Tamandua tetradactyla: one gene and its partners. The protein of the gene in region 1 purifies or fractionates together with the protein of each later gene. This does not show direct contact. Links are inferred from orthologs where the notes say so. Each region holds a gene or a part of one and is shown in the gene's direction. Other genes may lie near its edges.

Region 1 (7,501 bases):
TATCTGTTTTCACGTGTGATTCCTTAATAAAATGATGATGACCATTTTTTTCATACGCTTCTCAGCCATCTGTGTATCTTCTTTGGTCTAAAAAGTATTTTTAATTTGTTTCTTGAGGAGGTAATATATACGCACATACATTTAGAATTTTGAACCAAGAGTCACAATCTTGCCCCTGACTCCCTGCCACCTGATTCCCTTCCCTGGCAGCAATGAAAGCAATACTTTATGTCCTTGCAGAGAATCTAAACATACGTAACCAAATGTGCATTTATGCTCCACACACTCTTTTTTATTAAGATGAAATGAATCGCTTTAAAATGAACAATTCAGTGTCATCTAGTATATTCATTATGTTTTGAAACCACCACCTTTATCTAGTTCCAAAATAATTTTCATAATTCCATATCCATTGAACAATCACTTCCCACAGCCCCTGGCAACCACCAACCTGCTTTGTCTCTATGGATTTGCCTGTTCTGGAAATTTCATGTAAACGGAATCATACAATATGTGACCTTTTGTGTCTGCCTCCTTTCTCTTAGCATAATATTTTTTAAGGTCATCCATGTAACATACCAGCGTTCATTGCTTTATTTTTATGGCTGAATAATACTCCATTTATATGCTGGTATTGCAATTTTTTAATCCATTTATCTGCTGATAGACATTAAGGTATTTCCCATTTTGGGGTCCTTGTTTTTTGCCCATTTCTCCCTTGTTTTTGGTTTCTCATTGATACTTAAGGTGGGGAACTAGCCATTCAAGGTGTAAACTGTAAATATTTTCTTCAGTTTATAATTTTGGCTTTTCAAAATGGATTTTTAGACATAGTTAAAAAACTTTTTTTTTAATGGCTTCTGGATGTTGCATCATAGTTTAAAAGACTTTTCCCACACAAAATGATTTTCTCAAAACCTCCCTTAGTGCCTGGCTTTACTTTTGATTTTTAATGTCTACCTTTAAATTTTGGATTCATCTGGAGTTTATTCCAGGTTGTAGATTATGGATCCGACTATATTTCCCAGATTGCTCCTACCCATTTCATAATACCTTTTTATTGAATAATTCCTCTTTCCTCAACAGATATGAAATGATACATTTAGCATATACTAAATTCCTGTGTGCATTTAGATCTAATTCTAGGTTTTTCTGTCTTCCACTGATCTATGTGTACTAGGATTACTTTTTAGTTATTACATTTTAACTATTATAACTTTGCCATGTTTAAATATCTGGTAGGGTTAGTCTCTGTTCATTGCTCTTTGTTTTCATAAGCATCCTGACTTTTTGCTTATTTATTTCTCCATATGAACTTTAAATCAACTTTCCCACCCCCCAATCACCACCAAAAAAAATAAACAACCAAAAACTTGTTAGGTTTTTTTTTTTTGGCACGGGTAGGCACTGGGAATCGAACCCGGGTCTTGTGCATGGCAGGCAAGAACTCTGACACTGTGCCACCAGCGCCCACCCTAGGCTTTTTAATTGTGATGAACTCAGACTAATTTAGGGAGAATTGACACCTTTAGACGGCAAATCCCTACCGAGAACAAGGGTTCCTTGGTACCCATAATGTGTTTGTGCACTCACCTGTTGATGGACAGTTGCTGGACAGATAACTGCAGGTTATCTCTGAGTGTCACATGAGTTCATCCATTCTCCCCAAGTATGTCACTCAGAGGTCCTGAGGGTAACCCCCAAACCTGAACTTCCACTCTACCCCTAGCTTAGTGAGTGCACCTTCTCATGAATCCACAATGGGGATCAAGTCAGGTTAAGGGTCTGGGAGCCCTTGATTCCTCCCTTTCTCCCAAGAGCTATATCCTATCAGTGATTAAATCCTCTCGGCATTTTTAACAGCTTTATCCAGGTGAATCTGACATCCAATAAACTGTATGTATATAAAGTGAGCTATTTTAGTTTTGACATATATATATATACTCATGAAACCATAACCATAATCAAGTCCATGAACGTATGATCACCTCCAAAAGTTTTTTCGGGCCCTTTTGTCCACCGTGTCCTGCCTGCCACCCCTCGGGCAACCACTGATCTGCTTTCTGTCACTAGATTAGTGTCCATTTTCTAGAATTTTCATATAAACAGAATTACATAGTTATGTGTTCGCTTGTCTGGCTTCTTACACTCAGCACACTTATTCTGAGCTGCATCCATTTTGTTCTTTTTTTATCACTCAGTAGTATTTCATTGTATGGACATACCACAATTTGTGTATCCCTTCATTCTCTCATTGGTGGACATTTGGCTGTTTCCAACTTGGGGCTATTACAATGAAAGCTGCTACGAACATTTGCTGCAAGTCTGTATGTGGACATAGGCTTTCATTTCTCTTGGGTAAATACCCAGGAGTGGAGTGGCTGGGTCACATGGTAGGCGTATACTTAACTTTTTAAGAAACTGCCAAACTGTCTTCCAAAGTGATTGTACCATTTTACATTCCCACTAGCAGTGGATGGGAGTTCTATTTTCTGCATATCCTTGCCAATATTTGGCATGGTTGGTAATTCTTTTAGTCATTCTAGTAGGTATACAGTGGCATCTCTTAGTGGTTTTAACTTACATTCTTCTAATGAGTAATGTGTCAACCAGATTTTTATGTGCTTATTATGCCATTCATATATCTTCTTGAGTGAACTGTCTTGTCCGTATCCTTTGCCCATTTTTTATTGGACTGTTTGTCTTTTTAAGTTGCAAGACTTCTTTATGTATTCTAGATACAAAGTCCATCAGATAAATTTTGGCAATTATTTTCCCTTAGTCTATGGCTTGCCACTTCATTTTCCAATTAGTGTCTTTTGAAGAAAAACGGTGTTTTACTTTGAAGTTCAATTTATTAACTTTTTTTTTCTTTTATAGTTTGTGCTTCTTTGTGGCATATTTAAGAAATCCTTCCCAAACCCACCCAAGGTCACTAAGACTTTCCCCTATGTTTTCTTCCAGAAGTTTTTTTTCAGGTTTTACCATTAAACCTGTGATCGTTTGAATTCATTTTTGCTATTCTGTATTCTGGATAGTTAACTAATCCACCTATCTCTCTCTACTGTGTCTCCCACCACCCTACCTTCCATCATCCCTTGCTACCATTATCTCTTCCTGGACAACTAACTGCAGCAGTCTTTTATCTGGATTCTTTGCTTTGTGTCTTGTCCTTTCCAAACCACTCCTCCTGCAGCCTCCTCCTCCCTTTGTACAGATCTAATCACATCAGCTTCCTGCCTCACTAAGCTCTATGGTGAAGGAAGGGATGGAGTCAAGTTAGCAGAAGAGATGGAAGGGTTGTGAAGGTGACTGTCCGACACGGGGGGTTGAGCCAGAGGGCTTTGAGGGGAAAGGTGGTCTTTGGCACTCTGCAGTCACATCTTCCCTCTCCCCTGCTCCCTTTGATCCAGCCACAAGGGACATCCTTACAGGGTGTGTTCTCCTAGCCTTTGGATTTTTGTCCTCACAGTCTTTCTGCTTACAACACTGTCTCCAGCACCTTCTTGCCTGGTTAACTCCTACTTAGCCATGAAGAATCAGGTTTTTTAATCCCCAAAACTGGGCCAGGAGGGAGCCTGCCCCTGCAGTGGCTGGTTCACCTTGGTCGCAGGTCCGTGCAGAAAGGGTTTTGTCAAGGTTGGCTGCATAAACGCTGAGTGGAGAAGGGCACAGAGCCCAGAGCCGTTCTGGTCCCGGCTTAACCAGGTGAGGGAGCTCAGGCAAGCCACGCCCCTCCCGGGCCTCAGTTTCCCCAATCTGTAAACTCGGTTTAGATCCGTGGCTCTTAACCTTTTGGGGGTCTTGGATCTGACAATCCCGAAAAGGCTATGGTCTGTTCCCCAGCCAAATGCTTGTGTGCACGTCCTAGGAGCTGCGGGGCTGGGGTCCCCAGGGCCGGTGCGAAGCCGTGGGCTGCGGGAAGTTGCAGCCTGCCAACTCCTCGCCTTCCCACCCCAGTCCTCCCGGTCTCCCGCTGCTTCCTGCAGCTCGGGCGCCGGGGTCTCCGGGTCCTCAGCGCGCCTGCAGTCTGGCTCGCAGCCTCCGCCGCCCCCTCCCGGGTAAGGCGGCCCGTGGGCGCTCCCTGGTGGGCGGGCAGAGGGCGTGGGGGAGTGGGCGGGGAAGCCCCCCGACCACCCTCCCGCCGCGACTCCGACTTCCCCGATTCAAGAAACCCCAGCGCGCCGGAGAACGACAGCTTCCCCTAGCGGCTCATCGCCAGCCGGCGCGCGGCGGGAACCGGGGACCCCGCGCACAGAGGCGCGGGGACTTACCCAAGGTCGCGCCGCGAGCCCCGGTTCGGCCGCCTGCAGCCGCCGAGGCGCGGCGGCGGCGGCAACCCCGGGCCTGCGCCCCAGGGCGCGGGGGTGGGGTGGGGGGCGGGGTGAGGGTGGGGGCGGGGAGCCGGGGTGCGGCGCGGCCCGGGCGGGGTGGGGCTGCGGCTGCCGAGTGTCCGGCCGGGTCCCCGCGCCGCTCGCCGCACGCCCGGGCCCCGCCGCCAGCGGCTGCAGCAGCGCCAGGTAATCTCGGCCCCGCGCTGGGGCGGCGGGCGGCGGGAGGCCGTGGCGGTCCCCCCGGGGGGCCCGCGTGTCGCGGCGCGCTGGCCCGGGAACGCCCGCCGGGCCCTGCAACTCGAGCCGCGGCCCCTGGTTAAAAATACCCGCGGCCCTGCCCAGCCGCCCTCCTCCCCCGCCGTGCCCTCGGCCCCGGCCCCGCGCTGGCCCCTCCCCGGGGACAACTGTGCCTTTGGCTAATTTGTCCTCTCGCGGAGCTGGACCCGGGCCTGCGGAGGGAGCGAGGGGCGGGGAGACGCCGTGGGCCCGAGAGATAGTCGGAGAGCGCGTGGGAGAGATAAGGGAGGGCGGGGAGGAAGCGGGGCCGAGCCCCCGGAGCCGCCGGAGGAGGAGAGAGGGCGGGCGGAGGGGCGCGCGAGGAGGGCGGGGAGGAGCGCTCTTCCTGGTTGGGCCCGGCCCTGAGCAGCCACCGGGGAAGCCCGCCGCAGGGACCGCCGCCACCCCCCACCCCCTGCCCAAGCAGCCGTCCCTGCCCCCAGGTAAGGCCGGCCGGGGTGCCCTGATCCCGGCCACGGCGCCCCGGGGCTGCCCCCGCTCGGCGCGGCCGCGACCCTCCGGGTGCTGGGGAGCGGCCCCAGCCTGAGCTCACCATTGTGGCCAGGGGCTGGGCCGGGGCGGGGCTGGAGGAGGAGGGGCTGGGGGTCCAGCCCGCCTTGATGGCCCGGTCAGTCTCGGGGGGCCTGGGGAGCGGGGTCCTTGTCTGCCCGCTGTTCTCAGCCTGCAGCCCAGAGCTGGGAACTTGTTGGGTCTGGGATTGGCAAATCGGTTGGAAGAGGCCTTCCCTGGGGTCCCCGCCTTCTCTGTTCCTTCTGTTATCACGGGATCCACCCTGTCCAACCTGGGGGCGGGGAGGGGAGGCTGCAGGCCCAGGACTATAGTTTGGGAAGGGAGAGGTGGTGGGTATTCAGTGTGAGGGGGGGCAGGGTGGTGATGGCCTGGACACCCAGGGGCGGGGCAGGGGGGCTCTCCTGGGTGCTGGGAGCAGAGGGAGGGGGCACTGCGAGCCCCTCAGGTTCTGCAAGGGGAACTGCAGTGTGGCCAGGGAACCCCAGGTTTGGAGAGGAACGGCGGGGTGGGGGGCCGTGAAGAGGGGCAGGCACCCCAGTCCTCGCCCAGGGAAGGCCTGGGCTCTGAGCCAGCCATCGGTCCCGCAGGATGGCCGAGGAGTTCATCACTCCGGTGTACTGCACGGGGGTGTCCGCACAAGTGCAGAAGCTGCGGGCCAAGGGGCTGGGTCTGGGCCGCCACGAGAATGCTATCAAGTACATGGGCCAGGACTATGAGCAGCTGCGGGCGCAGTGCCTGCAGAGCGGGTCCCTCTTCCGGGACGAGGCCTTCCCCCCAGCGCCCCAGAGTCTGGGCTTCAAAGACCTGGGCCCCAATTCCTCCAAGACCTATGGCATCAAGTGGAAGCGCCCCACGGTGAGAGAGGGGCCACCCCGGGTGGGGCTGGCCGACCCCTTCCCCCTCCTCCCAATTTTGGGTGAGGAGGTGGGACAGGATGGTGGGGCGTGGGGGTCTGGGGTGGCTGGGGGCCGGTTTCCAGGAGGGACAGGACTCTGGGTCTCTCGCAGGAGCTCCTCTCAAACCCCCAGTTCATTGTGGACGGAGCCACACGCACAGACATCTGCCAGGGAGCACTGGGTAGGCCCCGGGGGACTCTGGGTGTTTTTTTTTTTTGGTCTTGTGAGTTCCCTAGTCCCGTTCCTTCCTGCAGCGGGATCTGCCCCTACTCCGCCCTCCTGCAAGCCGAGGCAGGCTCTGCCAATCAGGGCTGGGGCTGGTTTGCCTAGATTCCTGGGTAAGCTGAGGGGAGCCCAGGGCACACCACCTGGGGAGCCCCACCTGTTCCCCAGTATGGCACCTGTATGCACTGTCAGAGCAGGCTCCGGGGAGTGGACCTGATGTGGGCCCCCTCCCATGCCAGGGGACTGTTGGCTGCTGGCCGCCATTGCCTCCCTCACCCTCAACGACACCCTACTGCACCGGGTGGTCCCACATGGCCAGAGCTTCCAGGATGGCTACGCCGGCATCTTCCACTTCCAGGTGAGGCACCTGCACAGGTACAGGGCGCGTTGGCGTGGGGGAGTATTGGCGAGGAGGGATGCAGGGATGCACTGCTGTCCGAGGTCAGGGCAGCCGCAGGCACACCCTGCGGGGGCCAGCCCCTCCCCTGGAAGGTATTTGACCTCTCTTTGCCGTCTCAGGTCTGTCATGTGTGACACGGTCAGGCAGGTATTGCTGCTGGCGGGTTTCCAGGGTGTATTGGGGAGAAGGTGTTTGGAAGGAAAGAAAGAGCTCTGCTGTATATCCTGCAGGGCAGATCCTTCTCCTTCCCTGGGCGTCACTTTCCCCATCTAAAAATAAAGGGGCATTCTAGAGGGTAAAACAGACCAGTACCTGCAGCTGTCTCCCCTCTGAGCACCTCCTTCACTTTGGCAAACTCGAGCCTCTGACTGCGCCCCGCTAAAAAGAAAGACTTGGGATGAAGTCTGTTGAAACCAGCTTTTCCTGACCTTGTTTGCTCCCTGAGCCCATTTTTCAGGTCAGGCGAATTAATTTGCAATGAGCTGGGGTTGGCAGAGACACACCCTGGCAACCTAAAGGCCAGACCCTCTGCCCTGGGGGCCCCAGCCCTGTCCTGGGGGTTCCTGGGTGTTCTCTCCTTTTCATGTGGGACCCCCTTGTCCCACACCACCCACACCGGTCCTGCAGGACCCAAGGTTCAAGCCATGTGGCTGCACCTGTCCAGTTCATAGGGATGTGCCCCCCCACTTCCCTCCTTCCCTCCTGCCCCTGGGTCTCCCCTCCACCTGCTCCAGCTCCCGCCCCCTCCCCTTCCCTCAGCCTTCGGTACCCTGGGTCCTGACTGGACAGGCCCTTTCTCCCACCTGGACAACCCGTCCCCTTCTGACTCATCCCTGCAT
Region 2 (7,208 bases), on another chromosome or scaffold:
AGGCAGGAACTGGAGAGACCCAGCATGTTCCAGGAACTGAAATCAGGCGGGTGTGGCCAGAATACAGCACCACACCTGTGCAAGGCTGCTGAGGTCAGGTCCTGTAGGCCCTGGGAGGTTCACACTGCATCCTCGCGGGTGTGAAGGGCTGTGACAATGAGCAGGGATGCTGCACAAATCACTAGTTAGTAGGTGGGCCTGCACTGAGAACTGATTCTAACAGCACATTTACTCTGGGAGCACATCTCTTTTTACAACCTCATGCCCTGCAGGATGAAAACCTGTAAACTCCAGGAAAAGTAGCAGGGAGAGCAAAAGATGGCTGGACAGCTCTCGAAAGGCAAGCAGGGGATATTGTATACCTCCTTGCCTGATGTCAGATCTATAAAGGCAGTCTTTTTTTATTTTCAATATCATAGGAAAAAAAACATGAATATTTTATTTCCCCTTTATTTCTAACCATTCTTAGCAATCTCCAGTTGTAAAGTCATCGTTTCTTTGTATCCAGATATTATTAACAGCATGGCTGCACAAATTATTCTTCAGTGACTCCTCTTGAAGGCAAATGCCATTGTGAAAGGAGAAGAAATTTAATTAAATGAGTAAAATTCTCAAACCGAATGTTCTGTTACATATCAATTTGACAGCATGCTTTTGTAATATTTATTCCCTTTTCCATTCTATATGCAAAGTTTTATGGTATTATAGAACATTGAGGAGTGTCATAGATGTGACAAGCCACACAGTTCCCCTCAGGAATAAAGGACTCCTTACCCCAGCTGCTGGTAGTGCATCCAGCAAACAGCCCTCCTCTGTCAGCCTCCTCTGGGAACTGCCACAGTTTAACAGTTACCTGTCCTAAGGTCACTCCCCCTTCCAGCATCAACCACATCCCATGACTGATGCAGGGATATAAAGACCCAGGCCTCACTCCCCATCCTGGAGACGAACTCTGAAGGTGATCCCAGCATCATAACACCCTGCAGAGTTGTCCTAAGTCTCTGTTGGATCTGCATCCCTGTTCAGCTTCTCCCTTTACCCATTCCTTCCTTTCCCTTTCCAGGGTACTTCCTAACAAACCTCTGATGAAGAAATAGGATCTCAGCCCTCTTTGGTCCACAGAGCCAAGTGGGAAATTTTGCCATGTTGAAGATCAAGGCCTGAAAGCACTTGGCAAGTGACATACTATCAGGAGGGAAGACGGTCATAAGCGATGAGAAGCAAACCTGGCTATAGATATGTGTGTGACTCAAGCTCTTGCTTGGTAGCCATGGAAATTAACAATCATGTCATATGCTATTCTCTCTCTCTTTTTTTCTCTCTTCTTCCTCTGTCCCTCAATCCTTCATCTCCATTCTTTCCCCTCCCTGTATCCGCCATCCATGCACAACCCAGTGTGATCTGAAAAGAAAGACAAAGGCTCCTGTGTTCTAAACATATTCTCCAACTGGCTAACACATCTTCCTCTCCTACATGCACAACATTTTTACCACTGAAGCCATTCTTTGGATAATGCAACAGATGAGTCTTCTATCCTTTTCCTATTTTCAAGATTTATCTTCTTTTTTACTTAGGAAAATGAAACTAAGGAAGGCAGTAAACTTGGCTGAGAGGAGATGGCAGATGGGACAGTAACTTTCAGTGGGATCGGAGGGCACTTGAATATCAGCCAGAAGGTCCAGCTTTTTCTGGGGGTAGCTTCCCATCCAGTTGTGCGGTGGTGTGAAAAGAAATTCCTCCCAAATTGGGGGGGGGGGGATATTATTAAAACATTATTAAACTTTTCTCAATAGCTAATAACAAACAAATAAACAATCAAAACCTGTGGGTACCTCAGAAGAAATTTTGCTTTCTTCTCAGTATAACCCACTGCCTAGGTTACCAGGTTGAATATACACTCTTCACACATGATCTGACTCAAGCTTTCAGTGACTATCCCTCACTCTTACCTGCTTTCCTTCCTTAGCCTCAGACCACTTCATTCCTAGCTTCCTGCAGCCCCCCTGCCTGCTCCTTCTCAGGAGCCACTGGCGCCTCCTCCTCTGGACTCCATTTTGCCTTTTTTTTCCTTCATTTTATACATGTTTTCTAATGAGGAATAATGAGCTCCTGAATAGGTGCAGGGGCAGTGGGAGTGAAGAGGAGGAGATAAAATGTGGGGATTACTAGGAAGGGGCTTCAACTCATTTGGGTCAAGACATGGAGGGAGGAAGCAGCCCCTTTCCCCAAGTCACCCACCCCTCCGTCTGAGTGAGAAGTCCCTAAAGCCTGACTGCTCTTGCCCTTATCCCTAGAGTCATATCATTGTGGATTTACTTCACTGTCTTTCCTACTGAACTGCAAGGTCGTTGAGTGTGGGAGGTCCCTAGATAACACATTTCAGGCATCCAGTCGTGGAGTAAATAAAGGAATAAATGTTTACAATATGTGCACATAATGATGTAATAAAAGACGCCATATATTACTGAAAAGCACTTCTCAAGGTCGCCAAAATTCTGGTCATGGTATTAAAGTTCTAATAACTCCTCACTGATTACAAGAGAAAGTGAAAACATCACTTTCCTCTTAAACTTCTTTGAAAAACCTCTTTACTCATAGTGCTTAGCCCATCGATGTCCTGCTTATATTAGTTCAAACCCTTAAGCAAATTCTAAAGGGCAGGGTCAGCATCTTTTACAGCCTTTGGTACCTACTGCATCACTTAGTACAGTGCAGCTGCTCAGTAAAAAATAGGATGATAAACAAGATTGAGCAGGTCCCTCAGCTCTGGCCAGGTAGTGGATTCCTCTTTATCCCTGAACAGCCCCACCTCTTCTCCTGTTCACATCCCAGTATTCTGCCAGCCCACTCAAGCCTTTCTTTCCCTTCCTATAATTAGCAAAATCCATGGATCCCCAAACCTCCAAAGCACATTTGTACTTATTCACAAAATAAATCTCTTTGGGAGTCATCCAAATGATCATGTGTTACAAATGCTGTTATCATTCCACTAAACTTAAGTTCCTGGAGGGTGTGTGTGTGTGTGTGTGTGTGTATTTTAATCTTTATATCATAATGCATTACATGGAAGGCTCTCAAGAAAAAAAAACCAACTATTTAAAGTCCATTTAAAATGCTCTGTTGGAAGATAATGCCATGAAGTCAATGGGAACTGTTCTAACCAGAGTCAGAATAATGTACTTCAAGGATCTAAAATTTGAATATAGGACATCTAGGCTCCCTAGTAAGGAAATGGTCCCAATTACAGAGAAAAGATACATGCCTGTTACCTCATCCATGTCATTTTTCTAGTTATTTAAATTACTGTAGTGATTTCGGTCACAATCACAAAAGCTTTCTTTAAACTTTCAGATATGACATTTTCCCCAATCTGAATACAATTGATGCAATCAGTTATTCCTGAACAATCACATCCCCCCTTTTCAAGTTATTTTGTTTTCATGAATAAATTCCTGCACTACAGCCTGTTTTATTGGAAACACACACATAGTAAGCTGGTCCCTTTAAGAGGAAATGCATTTAAAGCATCCCCGTTAAGATGCTAGCCTCTCCTTAACTGAGGAGCGAGAACTCAGTATTCCTAGAAATGAGGGAGTAGGGGGCTATGCAAGAATTCATATCTGACAAGTTCCATACAGCATGGCAAATCTTTCCTCATAATCTAGCCTCTCCCTCTTCAACTCTCTCCACTCCAGAGAGGGGTGCCCAGAGACCCAAAGTTGCAACGCCATTGCAGAGAAAAGCAGGTTTTTCTGCCGGGTGCGATCACCAACTAGCGGCGACAGCAAGCTGGCAATCTCTCCAGATGAACGTTTACTTTTCAACTCGGACTTGCTAAATTTCGCTTCCAGCCCCAAACCAGGAAGTGCTTTTCAAGAAGAGCCAAAGCCAAAAGTGGTCCAGCCTCAGAAACAAACCCCGCCAGACTCCAGAAAGGCTACAGGGTACATTGAAGTTGGGGACTGTTCTCCAACCTGGGGATGGAACCTACGAACTACTCCCCACGAAACATTACTAAACTTTCCTAGTCTGCCAGAACAAAGTAAAATGACACAATATATACAGGCGCACGCGCACACACGCAAGTTTGTTTTTGTTATCCACTTCCCTATTTAGACAGTCCAGGCGTGAGCCAGATTTGCCTTAGTAGATTTTCTCTCAGCTGAAGCCGGGCAGATTGCCGACAAGTTGTCCAATTCTCGAGATTCTTAGGAGGAAGGATTGAGGCGTAGACCGGCCACGCCCCGGCCCGACTCTCCCATTGCACAACTCCCACAGAAGTTTGGCACGATGAAGGCGGGACCCCGCGACCTCCAACCCTTCCTCTCTCTGACTCAAGGAGAACCATACAGTCCTGCAGTGGAGGGAGGGTCGCGGGTGAGGACGCAGGGCAGAGGGTGCTAGGCGTGTGCCCCGAGCGCGCGGGCCGCAGCCACCCGCCGGCAGGAAGGGGAGGGCCCTGCCTGGCGAGGGCGAGCCCCCCCGCGGGCTCGCGGCCGGGTCGGAAAAGCTGCCTCGCGGGCGCGTTCCCGGGCCCTGGCTCCGCGCCTTCCCCCCAGCGCTCCCCACCCGGGCCTCCCAGTTGCCGCTGCCGGGTCCCGGTGGCAGCGCCCGCCGCGGCCTCGCCATGTCCCAGCCGGGCCAGAAGCCCGCCGCCTCCCCGCGGCCCCGGCGCGCTGCGGCGGCTCGCGGCGCCCAGGAGGTGAGTGGCGTTCCTGCCGGAGTCGGGGAGTGGGGCGCTGGGGAGGCCCCGCGTCCCCGAGCCGTGGGCTGCCTCCCCAGGGGCGGTGCCGGGCCTGCCGGGCCTGGAGCCCCGTGCGCCCCCTTCCGGGCAGGGGAAGGGCTCGGCGCTCAGCGCCCGCCGCCGCACGGGCGCCCGAAGGTGGTCAGAGGTGTCTGGGCCTAGATCAGGTGTCATGGGTGTGGCGCGGGGCGAGAAGCAGTGCCAGCGCCGGGAAAAGTTGGCTGTTGAGACAGGAGTAAAATGAGGATGGCGATGTGAAGACAATAAACTTCATTCGGGACCCCCCGGAGTGGTCGGGGTTGTTTAACTGGCTGGGGGAATTCTCTCTTCCGCGTCAAATCCTGGCTGCAGGGCGTGGCTGCCTGGAGAAGTAACTCTTCTCGGGGACCTGCCCTGAGCCAAAACGGCCGGGGTGGGGCCGGCTTGCCGGGGGCGGGGTCTGCGTCGGGCCCCGCCCCCTGTGCACGCCCACCTGGTTACTACCCGACCAGCTGAACTCGCTGTCAGCCTGGTCCCGCACCAAAGGAGTGTGAGCTCCGCGCCCCCCGCAGCGCTCCGGGTGCCCTCGCGGGGTACTGCACCGCGCGGCTCAGAAGCGAACCAGTTGTTACCATGGCGTTCGCAAGCTGGTGGTATAAGACGGTAAATGGGAGCGATCTTGTCTGGGCAGGAACGGGAAGGGAGTGTGTGTACTTTGGTTTGTCCTACGGGGCGTGAGGACGAGGTATTGTCCGGGCTTGGCCGGGAAAGGGTGGGAACCCGGCGCGACCTCCTCGCAGACCTTGGGGTTAGGCTGCCTGAGAGGCCCGGAGACTCACCCTTCTCAGGTATGTGAGTGCGAGCGAGCCCGGGCGTGCGGTTCGGTGCGAGCAGATGCACCAAGCTCAGCTCCTGCTCACAAGTTGAATGGAACAGGAATTGGAGCTGGAGGAATTCCGCCCCCGGACACGGATACTTGGACAAACTTGCGCGCAGCCCACAAGAGCTGGGGGTTTGTTTTTAACCCCCAAGTTAGGTTCAGTTTTTTCAGAGGAAGGTTGTTAGGCATGCATTTTCCAATTCAAAGGAGTCGAGGCAGCCTGATTTAGGGCAAGGAGAAAACACGAAACCCCAAAGAGCAAAAGTAGCCGAGATCAAGATTCTTTTGGCGTGGGGGGTGGGGGGTGGGAGAGGCGGGGGGAATGCTTTGCACTTGGTTACTTTGGAGACGGGACAAAGATGTTCCATTTGTGTAGTGCATTGAATGTTGTATCAATTAATCAAGCTGACACTTGTAGTGATCTGGAACCAGGAAGTATGATTTAACAGAGGTTGCTTTCCAAAAAAGATATCCCAAAGTTTTGTTGACAGGGTTGGAATATTTATGTTCCATTGATTTATGGTCGGAATTTCCAAAAAAAATTAAATAGGTGCATCTCTTAGCATAGGGTTTGGGAAAAGCAAGGTTATAACTAGACATTCTTTGGAGCAAGAAAACCTTCTATTAGAATCAGGAAACTGCCATTTATAAGTCAATGGCCATTGTGGACAGGTGGCAGGCACTTGTATAGCTTCCAGATACACAGTGGAGAAAAAAACAGATTTTATTCTCGAAGGGCAGCCTTTTGAACCTGTTTCCACATCTGTAAAATGGGGTTGATAATACACACCACAAGGGTTGGTAAAGACTAATTAGATTCATGAATCAAAGTGCCGGACATACACTTAATGATCTGAAATTCCCATTTCCCTTGAGATATTTCTTCAAGGATGTTTTCCATTACATTTCCTAGGTGATTCTAATGTAGCATCTTATTGATGTACTTAACAGTGAAAGCTTGCTTTGAATGACCTGTTTTTGTCCTAAGATTCTTATCAAAATGTACCACATGAATCATCTGCAAATACGGATGGGCAGTGGTAAGAGTTGACATCCACATCTTCCAAATTTGTGATTCGCTGAAGGAAACTAGCTGGGCTACTTGGATGAAAATAGTTAAGCCTATGTTTTAAGCTTACACATTGACATTTTTGCTAAAACCTCTGTCTTAGAATCCAATTTTGGGATGATTATGAAAACATTTTGCTAATAGGAATTTCCTAGAATCCACAGCATGCCACGCGCTGACATTTCCCAGACTGGTGCTGTACAATAGAAATATGGTGTGAGCTACATATATAGTTTAAAATGTTCTAGTAACAATTAACAAAAGCAAAGAAAAACAGCTGAACTATACTAATATTTTATTTTATTTGGCCCATTATATTCCAAACATTATTTCAACAGGTAATCAATGTCGAAATTGTTGAGATATTTTACATTCTTTTTTCATATTAATTTTTCAAATTCCAGGTTGATTTTACATTTAGAGCACAGCTCAGCTTGGACTTGCACATTTCACGTGCTCATAGCCACAGGTGGCTATAGTATTGGACCATACAGCTCTACATCATGGGTTCTTAAACTTTTGGGGAGGGAGGTTGA
Region 3 (7,446 bases), on another chromosome or scaffold:
TGTAAGTACACAATCCACTGACTCTCAAAGAGTTTTCATTCTGGTGAGGGAGTTGGATTGGTACAATTGCACAGAAAATGATGATGATGATGCTAACAGCTAAATTAGTGTCACGTCCTCCATCTATTACCTAGCACTGGGTTGGGTAATGCTGGGGACACAGTTGTCCCTGAGAAAGCATCCCCTCACCTGACCAGGGCTCCCAATTCAGAGGGGAAGACAGATATCATCAAATGTTATAGATTGTAATTCATTATTTTATTTATTTATTTAGGTCAGGTGACACTTTACAAGGCGGGAAACACAAAACCTATCTTTGGGAAATATCAAGAGCCATACGTGGGCCAGAGCAGAGAGTGGAGGTGCAGCAATCAGAGTGGGACTCTAGTCTGGGCTGAGGGAGGTTGAGAAAGTTTTCCTTGGTAAGGTGATATCTGTACAGTGACTCCAAGGCAAAAAGGGTGAAAAGGGTGTTCCTGCAGAGGCAGAGCCTATGCAAAAACCTGGCAGCAAAACAGCATGGTGAGGAGAGGGAAGGGAAGTGGCTTATGCCAGCTGCAGGGAGGGGAACAGAGGGACAGGAATCCAAATTAGTCATTATGTAACAACTTGGCATCAACCAAGCTCTCAGACTCTGCCAAATCCTGTGGTGCCTCAGGCAAGTGACTAGCCTCTCTGAACTTGCGCTTCCTCTAGTTATTTCCTTTTTCATAGGGTGGTGAGATGCCTTGGCAAGATATGCCGGTAAGACTGTTATCCTAACCTAGTTCCATCAAGCCCTGGGGAGATGGTTAGCTAGGGTAGTTATGACTGAGTGTATTATTGGTGCTAATATCACTGAGGCAGCACATTATGAGCAATAAAAGTGTAACCTACAAAGCCAGACTCCCTGAGTTCAAATCTTGACTACCCCCACCCTGGACCTTGGTTTCTTTCTGGGCCCGATCATAACATCTACATGCACCAGTCAAAATAGGCTAGGTTATGCTGTGGTAACAAATGAGCCCTAGAGCTTGGTGGACTAATACCTCAAAAATGTTAGTTCTTGCTCATACAGTTTGCTGCAGGCTGGGTGACAGTGGGTGACCATCTCCACTGTTGCCAGGGCAGGGGAGAGAGAGAGAGCATGGAGCATCCTCCACTGGCTTTTTTTTTTTTTTTTTTTAATAATGGTCAGTGTTGTGATTTTTATTTTTTAAATAAATTGTAGGTTTGCAGAAAAATCATGCAGAAAGTACAGAGTTTCTTTATACCCCATCTCACACACACAGTTGCATTGAGCTTTTAAATGCTCCCACCTGGAAAGTGCCACACTCAGTGCTCCAGCTCTCCTTTCACAATGCAAGTCATCCAACCCTGCTGAAGTTTAAAGGAGCATGCAAAAGTTCGGGAGGCATTAGTAATGCTTGCTGGACTATCTCACTGATGACGCTGAAAACTGAATGACAAAATCCATGTAAAACATTTCATTCATCATGAACAAGTGCTTATTGAATGCCTAATATGGGCCAGGCACTGTTCTAGGTACTGGGTACATAGCAGCAAACTAGACAAATCCCTACTCTCTGGAGGCTGTTTGTAGTGGGGGAAAGAGACAAACGGAATGAGTATGCAATATGCTAAGAGGTGATAAGTGATAGGAGCAGGGGGTTTAAATTGAGGATCCCAGAGGACCTTCCTGATCACTTGATGTGAGGCACTAAGAAGTAAGGGACTAAGGTGGGGCTGGAAACTAGCCTTGGCAATGGAGAAGCAGCCCTCATGTATGTAGAGGGGGACTGTCTGGATGCTGCTGTGTGTCCTTGTCTTGAGTGCTCAGGTGGGACCATCCAGGTTGAGCTGCCAGTAGGGCCTTTTCTCTCTTTCTCATGGAGGAGAAGAGCAGAGAGATGGTAGGACCAGATCACCAGGGCCTTAGTGAGGACTTTGATTCTTGCCTATAGTGAAGGGCAGCCAGGGGAGGAGGGCGGGGCTCAGCCATGAGGGGCCTGATCTGACCCAGGTGTTCACAGGGTCCCTCTGGCTGCAGGTGGGGAGAAGACTGTGGGGGGCAGGGATGGCAGGAAGAGGCTGCTGTGGGAGAGGAAGGAGGCAGGACCTATGTGGGGCAGTGGAGGGGAGGAGTTTAGATTCTGTAGGTGGAGTCAACAAGGTTTGCTGACAAGTTGGAGTGGGTGTGAAGGAAAGAGGGTTTAAGGACAACACTGGGGTGTTTGGCTTCAGTCACTGGAAGGACAGGGCTACCACTTGCAGAGGTGGGGGAGGAGCAGTTTGGGATGTGTGGAATTTGAGATACCTCTAAGATCCCTCCCCTTCCCTCATGGAGATGGTGAGTGGAAGGCAGACTATAGGAGGATACAAGGAACCTGGAGCTCAGGGGCTCTCTGGGCTGAAGATATTTGGGTGTTGACAGCCTAGAGATGAAATTTAAAGCATGGTATGGGCGAGGCTCACGCAGCATGTGTGGCAGAGGAGGACCAAGTCCTGGGACTGACCAGAATTAGGAGCTCCAGGATACAGACCTAGACCACAACATGATTATAATGGGCTGTGAATGTCATGAGAAAGTACAAGTAATTTTCAGAGCATATAACTGGAAGCCTCAGCTAGTTTTGGGTGGGAGTAGTGGGGGGTTAGGGAGGGTTTCCTGGAAGAGGCCACTCCTGAGCTGACACCCAAAGTCTGAGTAGCTACAAAGCCAGGCCAAAAAAAAAAAAAAAAAAGGCGGTAGGAGTGTTCCAGATAGAGGGCACAGCCTACACAAAGCCCTGGCAGCAAGTGAGCCCAGGGAGAGGACAGGCCGCTGAAGCTGTTCAGCTTGGTTGAAACTATGAGTGGCAGGGAGGGGTGTGGTGACAAGGGAATCCAGATTAGTCACCCTCAAAAGATACGGCCTCAACCAAGCCCAGGTTCAGGCCTGGTTCTTCCACCCTCTGTGACCTGAGGCCTCTCAGAGCCTCCATTTTCTCTCTTGTTAGTTTCTGCCTTAGAGACAAGGCTTGTGTAGGCAGTTGCCCTGTCCTGGCCCAGGAGGCCCTCAGGAAGCATGAACTCAGGATGTGGTATTGTCTGTTGTGATTTTGTTATTTGAGTTATTATATTAATTATATGACTGGAGACTCAGTGCATTAGGGTAGTGGTTAAGGGCCCAGGCTAGGGAGCCTGGCTGTCTAGGTTTAGGAGTCAGTTTATCTATGTATAAAAGGGAGAAAGTAGTATCCATCCACAGCGTTGTTGTGAGGACAAATTAGGTAAAGTACTTAGGAAGGTGCCTAGCAGCTATTTTTATCAGTGTTATTTAAGGAGGAATAAGAGTGAGCTGGCAGGGGTAGGAGACAGCATGGGAGGGCACAGGCACAGAGGCATTTAATAACTACCATTTACTAAGAATTTATCACTTAATTCTAATAGGGGGCTAATGGAGGTAAGACCCATGTTCCTATTTTACAGATGAAACAATTGCTGCTTAGAGATTGCAGGTCACTCTCTTGGGGTGGCACAGATATTAAGGGACAGAGCTAGGATTCAAACTCAGGCCTAGCCATCATCCTCCAGGGGAGGGGCTTAGGGTGCGACAGCCAGACTGCCATGCCAGACTTAGCTCCCTCTGAGAAGCCTTGAAGAGCCCCGAGGAAGTACCTGGCGCACACTGATTGGAGGATGGAAACAGAGAGCAAGTGAAAGGCCTCCAAAGGCGGCTGCAGTCGTGATTTTTCCTCTCAGTTACACCGCTTTCTCCCCCTGTATCCTATCCACCCTGGGACCTCGGTAACATCTGGCCAAGCTGGGACCAGAGAACAGAGACTCCTTCCTATGTCCGGGGCCTTCTTTAGATTGGAAGATTGAGGCGAGATGTTGGGCCCGGCCAGGAAACATTACGCCTGACTCGGGGTTGGAAGCAGGTGGAGGAGAAGCAAGGATGCGTTCCCAGGTGGGGGAAATCCCACCTACAGTTTGACCGCGATCTGGCTGCCATAGGGAACGGGAAGACTAGCCTAGCCTCAATGCCTAACACAGATGAGTACGCTTGATCTCGGAAACAAAACTCGGGGCCTCCTGATGCTGCTCGTAGCGACAAGACCTGTATAGGGGTCATGTGCTATCTTTTCCAGCGTCCCGAAAGCCGCATCCGCAGCTGGGTGAAGAGGAACCTCGGGTGGGGGTTTCTCCGAGATTGCCTAGGGCACCTCGAATTTCCTGTCCCCGTGAAAGCGCCCGGGGTTGTAGGTTGTGGGGAAAGCCCTCAAACCCCTTTAGATTGGGGCGGGTTTGGAACTTGCCCACCCAAGGGTGGGGCCGCAGTGTTCACGCCCCATATGTCTCGAGGCCCGTGTGCGCAGGCGCATACGCACAAGTCGGCTCTAGGACCCCAGCGGATGCCCGTTGGGCCGCGTCACTGTGCCTGACCCGGGCACTGCAGCCTGAGTCACCGGCCACGCCCTCCGGAGCCGGACACAGCGGGAGGCCGGGAGGAGCAGACAAACGGGCCGCCAGATCGACGGACTTATCAGCTAGGCGGTGAGCATTCGGCGCGGACCCCTCCACCCACCCCCGGCGGCCCCCAGAGCCTACGAGATCCTATAGTTTTGGCCTCAGGGATCCCTAGACCTGGACGGCCCCCGTTATCTTGGTCCCGGGGTTCCCTCGTATCGTGATCTAAGATGCGAGTTTACAGATTGCAGGCACCCCGTAAATTCTGTCCTGGGGCCTCTAGAACCACGACCCTAGATGCGCGCCCCCAGTTCCAGTGGGGACCCTGTTATCGTGGGCCTTGGGGATCACAACCACGACCTCAGGCCTCAGGCCACAGACCTAGCGATGCGACTGTAATCTCACCGCACGGAGATCCCAGACCCTCACTTCCTCGTTCAGGACTCCCTCAAGTCTGCTCCAGGGACGATGATCCTAGATCTGCGCCCCTGATCCTCCGAAGACTCCCACGTTCCAATTCTGGCGTTCCTGGATCTCAGATTCGAGCGCCCACACACGTCGGAGACGCCTTACACCAATTTGGGCCTCGCGTCTGGACAAACCTCCCGATCTGGACCCCTACCCTTAATGATAACTGTGCGTGGACTCAAACCCGACAGGGACCCTTTAGAACCGAGGAGGATTCAAGTCTGATCCTCCGTCCCTATCCCACACATCCGAGGGCTACCTCCTCCGCAAGCACAGACTTCATCCTGGCCGAATCCCTCAGCCCCAGCCGGAGGATTGGCACCCACCCGGAGGCCTCAGATTCCTCCTCAGCGCTCACGAAAATGTGTCCTTTGGGGGGAGGGAGGAGTTCAGGGGCGAGGCAGCCACCTAACGCTTTCTCTCCTCAGGAGTCCGAGTCGCGGCCATGTTCCTGGTTAACTCGTTCTTGAAGGGCGGTGGTGGCGGCGGCGGCGGCGGGGGCCTGGGCGGAGGCCTGGGGAATGTGCTCGGAGGCCTGATCAGCGGGGCCGGCGGCGGCGGCGGCGGCGGCGGAGGAGGAGGTGGCGGCGGCGGCGGCGGCGGAACAGCCATGCGTATCCTGGGCGGGGTCATTAGCGCCATCAGGTAAGGCGGGGCCTGGCGGGGTGCGGGCCCAACAAGAGAATCGTAACCCTCAGACTGGGCCGGGCTTAAGCAGGGAGGTGGGCCTTGGGGGCGGGGCTGAGGCCCGTTTTGGGGGCGGGCTTGACGTGGGCGTGGTTTTGCCGTGGGGGTCAATAGTGATGTTGGCCCAAGAGGGACTTAACCTGACGGAACCCGCCGGTCTCTGGGAAAGATGGAAGACTTGGCACGGCCAAGCATGGGCTTACCTAGAGAGAAGTATGGAGGGGGAAGAGCCATCATTGGCTGCAGGAGTATGTCACTCCATGGGCTGGGTCTTGAAGTGGGCACGGCCTGGTTGTCTTAGGTTAATGAGGAGGTGAGCCTAAGAAAGGCTAAGACCTAATGGGAGAGAGGAAATGGGCCTTGAAGGTGTAGGGCCTAGCTAGGAACTGACTCAATTAAGGGAGAAAAATCCTGTGCTTAGGAGTAGGTCACTTGTCGCTTGGGGCCTTGGCCACTGAAAGGGTGGGGCCTAATGGAGTTGGGGCGGGATGTTAGAAAGACAGGCATTCAGGTGGGGGGTGGGTCCTGGGCAAATGGAATTTAAGAAGAGGAGACAGGCCCAGGAAAGGTAGGCATATCCTCTAAGAAGCGAGTTCTTGGAGGGGCAGGTCTTTTGAGGTTGAGCGAGATTGTGGGCTGGGAATGGGTGGGGCCAGAATGATTCTGGAATCTGCCATTGGGTAGGTATGCCCTGAAGGTAGTGGAACCTGCCGCGAGGGCGGCCCGTGCGTGGGTTTCCTCGCGGATGGAGTTGGCCTGATGGAGGGAGAGGAGGGACTTGACCAGGGCAGCAAGGATAGGAACAGGTCAGGATAATGACAGATGAGGCTTGGAGGTGGGAGTGGGGAGGAACCCTGTAGCAAGGATGGTGGGCTGGGAGTTTGGGAGTTGTGGGGGGCTGGTCGTGGCAGTTCTGCTGGGGATGCCCGTTGGAAGCCCCGCCCCTTGGTACTAACTCCCAGTGTCTCTTCACAGTGAGGCGGCTGCGCAATACAACCCGGAGCCCCCGGTGAGCCTCTCTCCCTTCCTCCTTCACGGCCTTTTCCAGAACCATCCTTGTCCCTTTGGAGAAGCCCCAACCCCTTTCCCTCTTATGAAATCCCTCTCCCATTAAGTCCCTACCTTGCCAAGTCCCCTGACTTAGCTGTGGATATTAGCCATGCGACAGGGGCCCCCTTTTTTTGTTCACTCAGTCACCCACTCCACTCTGACCTCCACTTAGGGCACTTGGGTGTGGGGAGCTCTCCTGGCTGGGGTACCCTTCTCCCTGCTTGCTCTGAGATATTCTCCATTTGCAGCCCCCACGCACCCATTATTCCAACATTGAGGCCAATGAGAGCGAGGAGGTGCGACAGTTCCGGAGGTTGTTTGCCCAGCTGGCTGGAGATGTAAGTAACTGAGACCCCAGCTCAGTCCCAGCCTTTCACAGCCTTCCTTTGAATTGCCTTGCATACACATACCATGATAATCCCAAAGTTCCCATCCTCCTTCAGAACCAGCCCACTCCTTCCAGCCATCTCTGACCCACCCATAACTTCTCCCTGCAGGACATGGAGGTCAGTGCTACTGAACTAATGAACATTCTCAACAAGGTCGTGACACGACGTGAGTGAATACATAGTGCAAGTTTAGGCATAGGGGCAGAAGGGGCTGTGATCTATGGCCACTGACCTTTAACCTGTTCTCTCCTAGACCCTGATCTGAAGACTGATGGTTTTGGTATTGACACGTGTCGCAGCATGGTGGCCGTTATGGATGTATCCTTGGGGGCAGTCAGAGGGAGGCCCTGGGTGAAGAGGGAGATTTCTGAGCATGTGACTGGGACAGCCAGTATATAGCAGAAACATGGACAAGTATACA

The links.
Region 2: the proteins of CAPN1 (region 1) and CAST purify together in Homo sapiens (co-immunoprecipitation; 4 studies listed by BioGRID and IntAct, counting the BioPlex papers as one, with this or other methods). This does not show direct contact. The link is inferred for Tamandua tetradactyla from reciprocal best matches to the Homo sapiens genes CAPN1 and CAST.
Region 3: the proteins of CAPN1 (region 1) and CAPNS1 purify together in Homo sapiens (co-immunoprecipitation; 4 studies listed by BioGRID and IntAct, counting the BioPlex papers as one, with this or other methods). This does not show direct contact. The link is inferred for Tamandua tetradactyla from reciprocal best matches to the Homo sapiens genes CAPN1 and CAPNS1.

Annotation. Positions count from the first base shown.
Region 1 is NC_135335.1:9,387,968-9,395,468, reverse strand, and holds the start of CAPN1 (calpain-1 catalytic subunit), read left to right. Parts: upstream 1-4,457; 5' UTR 4,458-4,520; intron 4,521-4,757; exon of another isoform or gene 4,758-5,053; intron 5,054-5,728; 5' UTR 5,729-5,729; coding exon 5,730-5,996; intron 5,997-6,148; coding exon 6,149-6,218; intron 6,219-6,501; coding exon 6,502-6,620; intron 6,621-7,501. UniProt on the Homo sapiens protein: Calcium-regulated non-lysosomal thiol-protease which catalyzes limited proteolysis of substrates involved in cytoskeletal remodeling and signal transduction. Proteolytically cleaves CTBP1 at 'Asn-375', 'Gly-387' and 'His-409'.
Region 2 is NC_135347.1:34,426,888-34,434,095, reverse strand, and holds the start of CAST (calpastatin), read left to right. Parts: upstream 1-4,147; 5' UTR 4,148-4,290; coding exon 4,291-4,377; intron 4,378-4,612; exon of another isoform or gene 4,613-4,627; coding exon of another isoform or gene 4,628-4,702; intron 4,703-5,240; exon of another isoform or gene 5,241-5,356; coding exon of another isoform or gene 5,357-5,386; intron 5,387-7,208.
Region 3 is NC_135342.1:29,811,289-29,818,734, reverse strand, and holds the start of CAPNS1 (calpain small subunit 1), read left to right. Parts: upstream 1-4,385; 5' UTR 4,386-4,518; intron 4,519-4,872; 5' UTR 4,873-5,067; intron 5,068-5,327; 5' UTR 5,328-5,344; coding exon 5,345-5,544; intron 5,545-6,294; exon of another isoform or gene 6,295-6,345; coding exon of another isoform or gene 6,346-6,392; intron 6,393-6,561; coding exon 6,562-6,595; intron 6,596-6,884; coding exon 6,885-6,974; intron 6,975-7,133; coding exon 7,134-7,191; intron 7,192-7,278; coding exon 7,279-7,343; intron 7,344-7,446. UniProt on the Homo sapiens protein: Regulatory subunit of the calcium-regulated non-lysosomal thiol-protease which catalyzes limited proteolysis of substrates involved in cytoskeletal remodeling and signal transduction. Essential for embryonic development.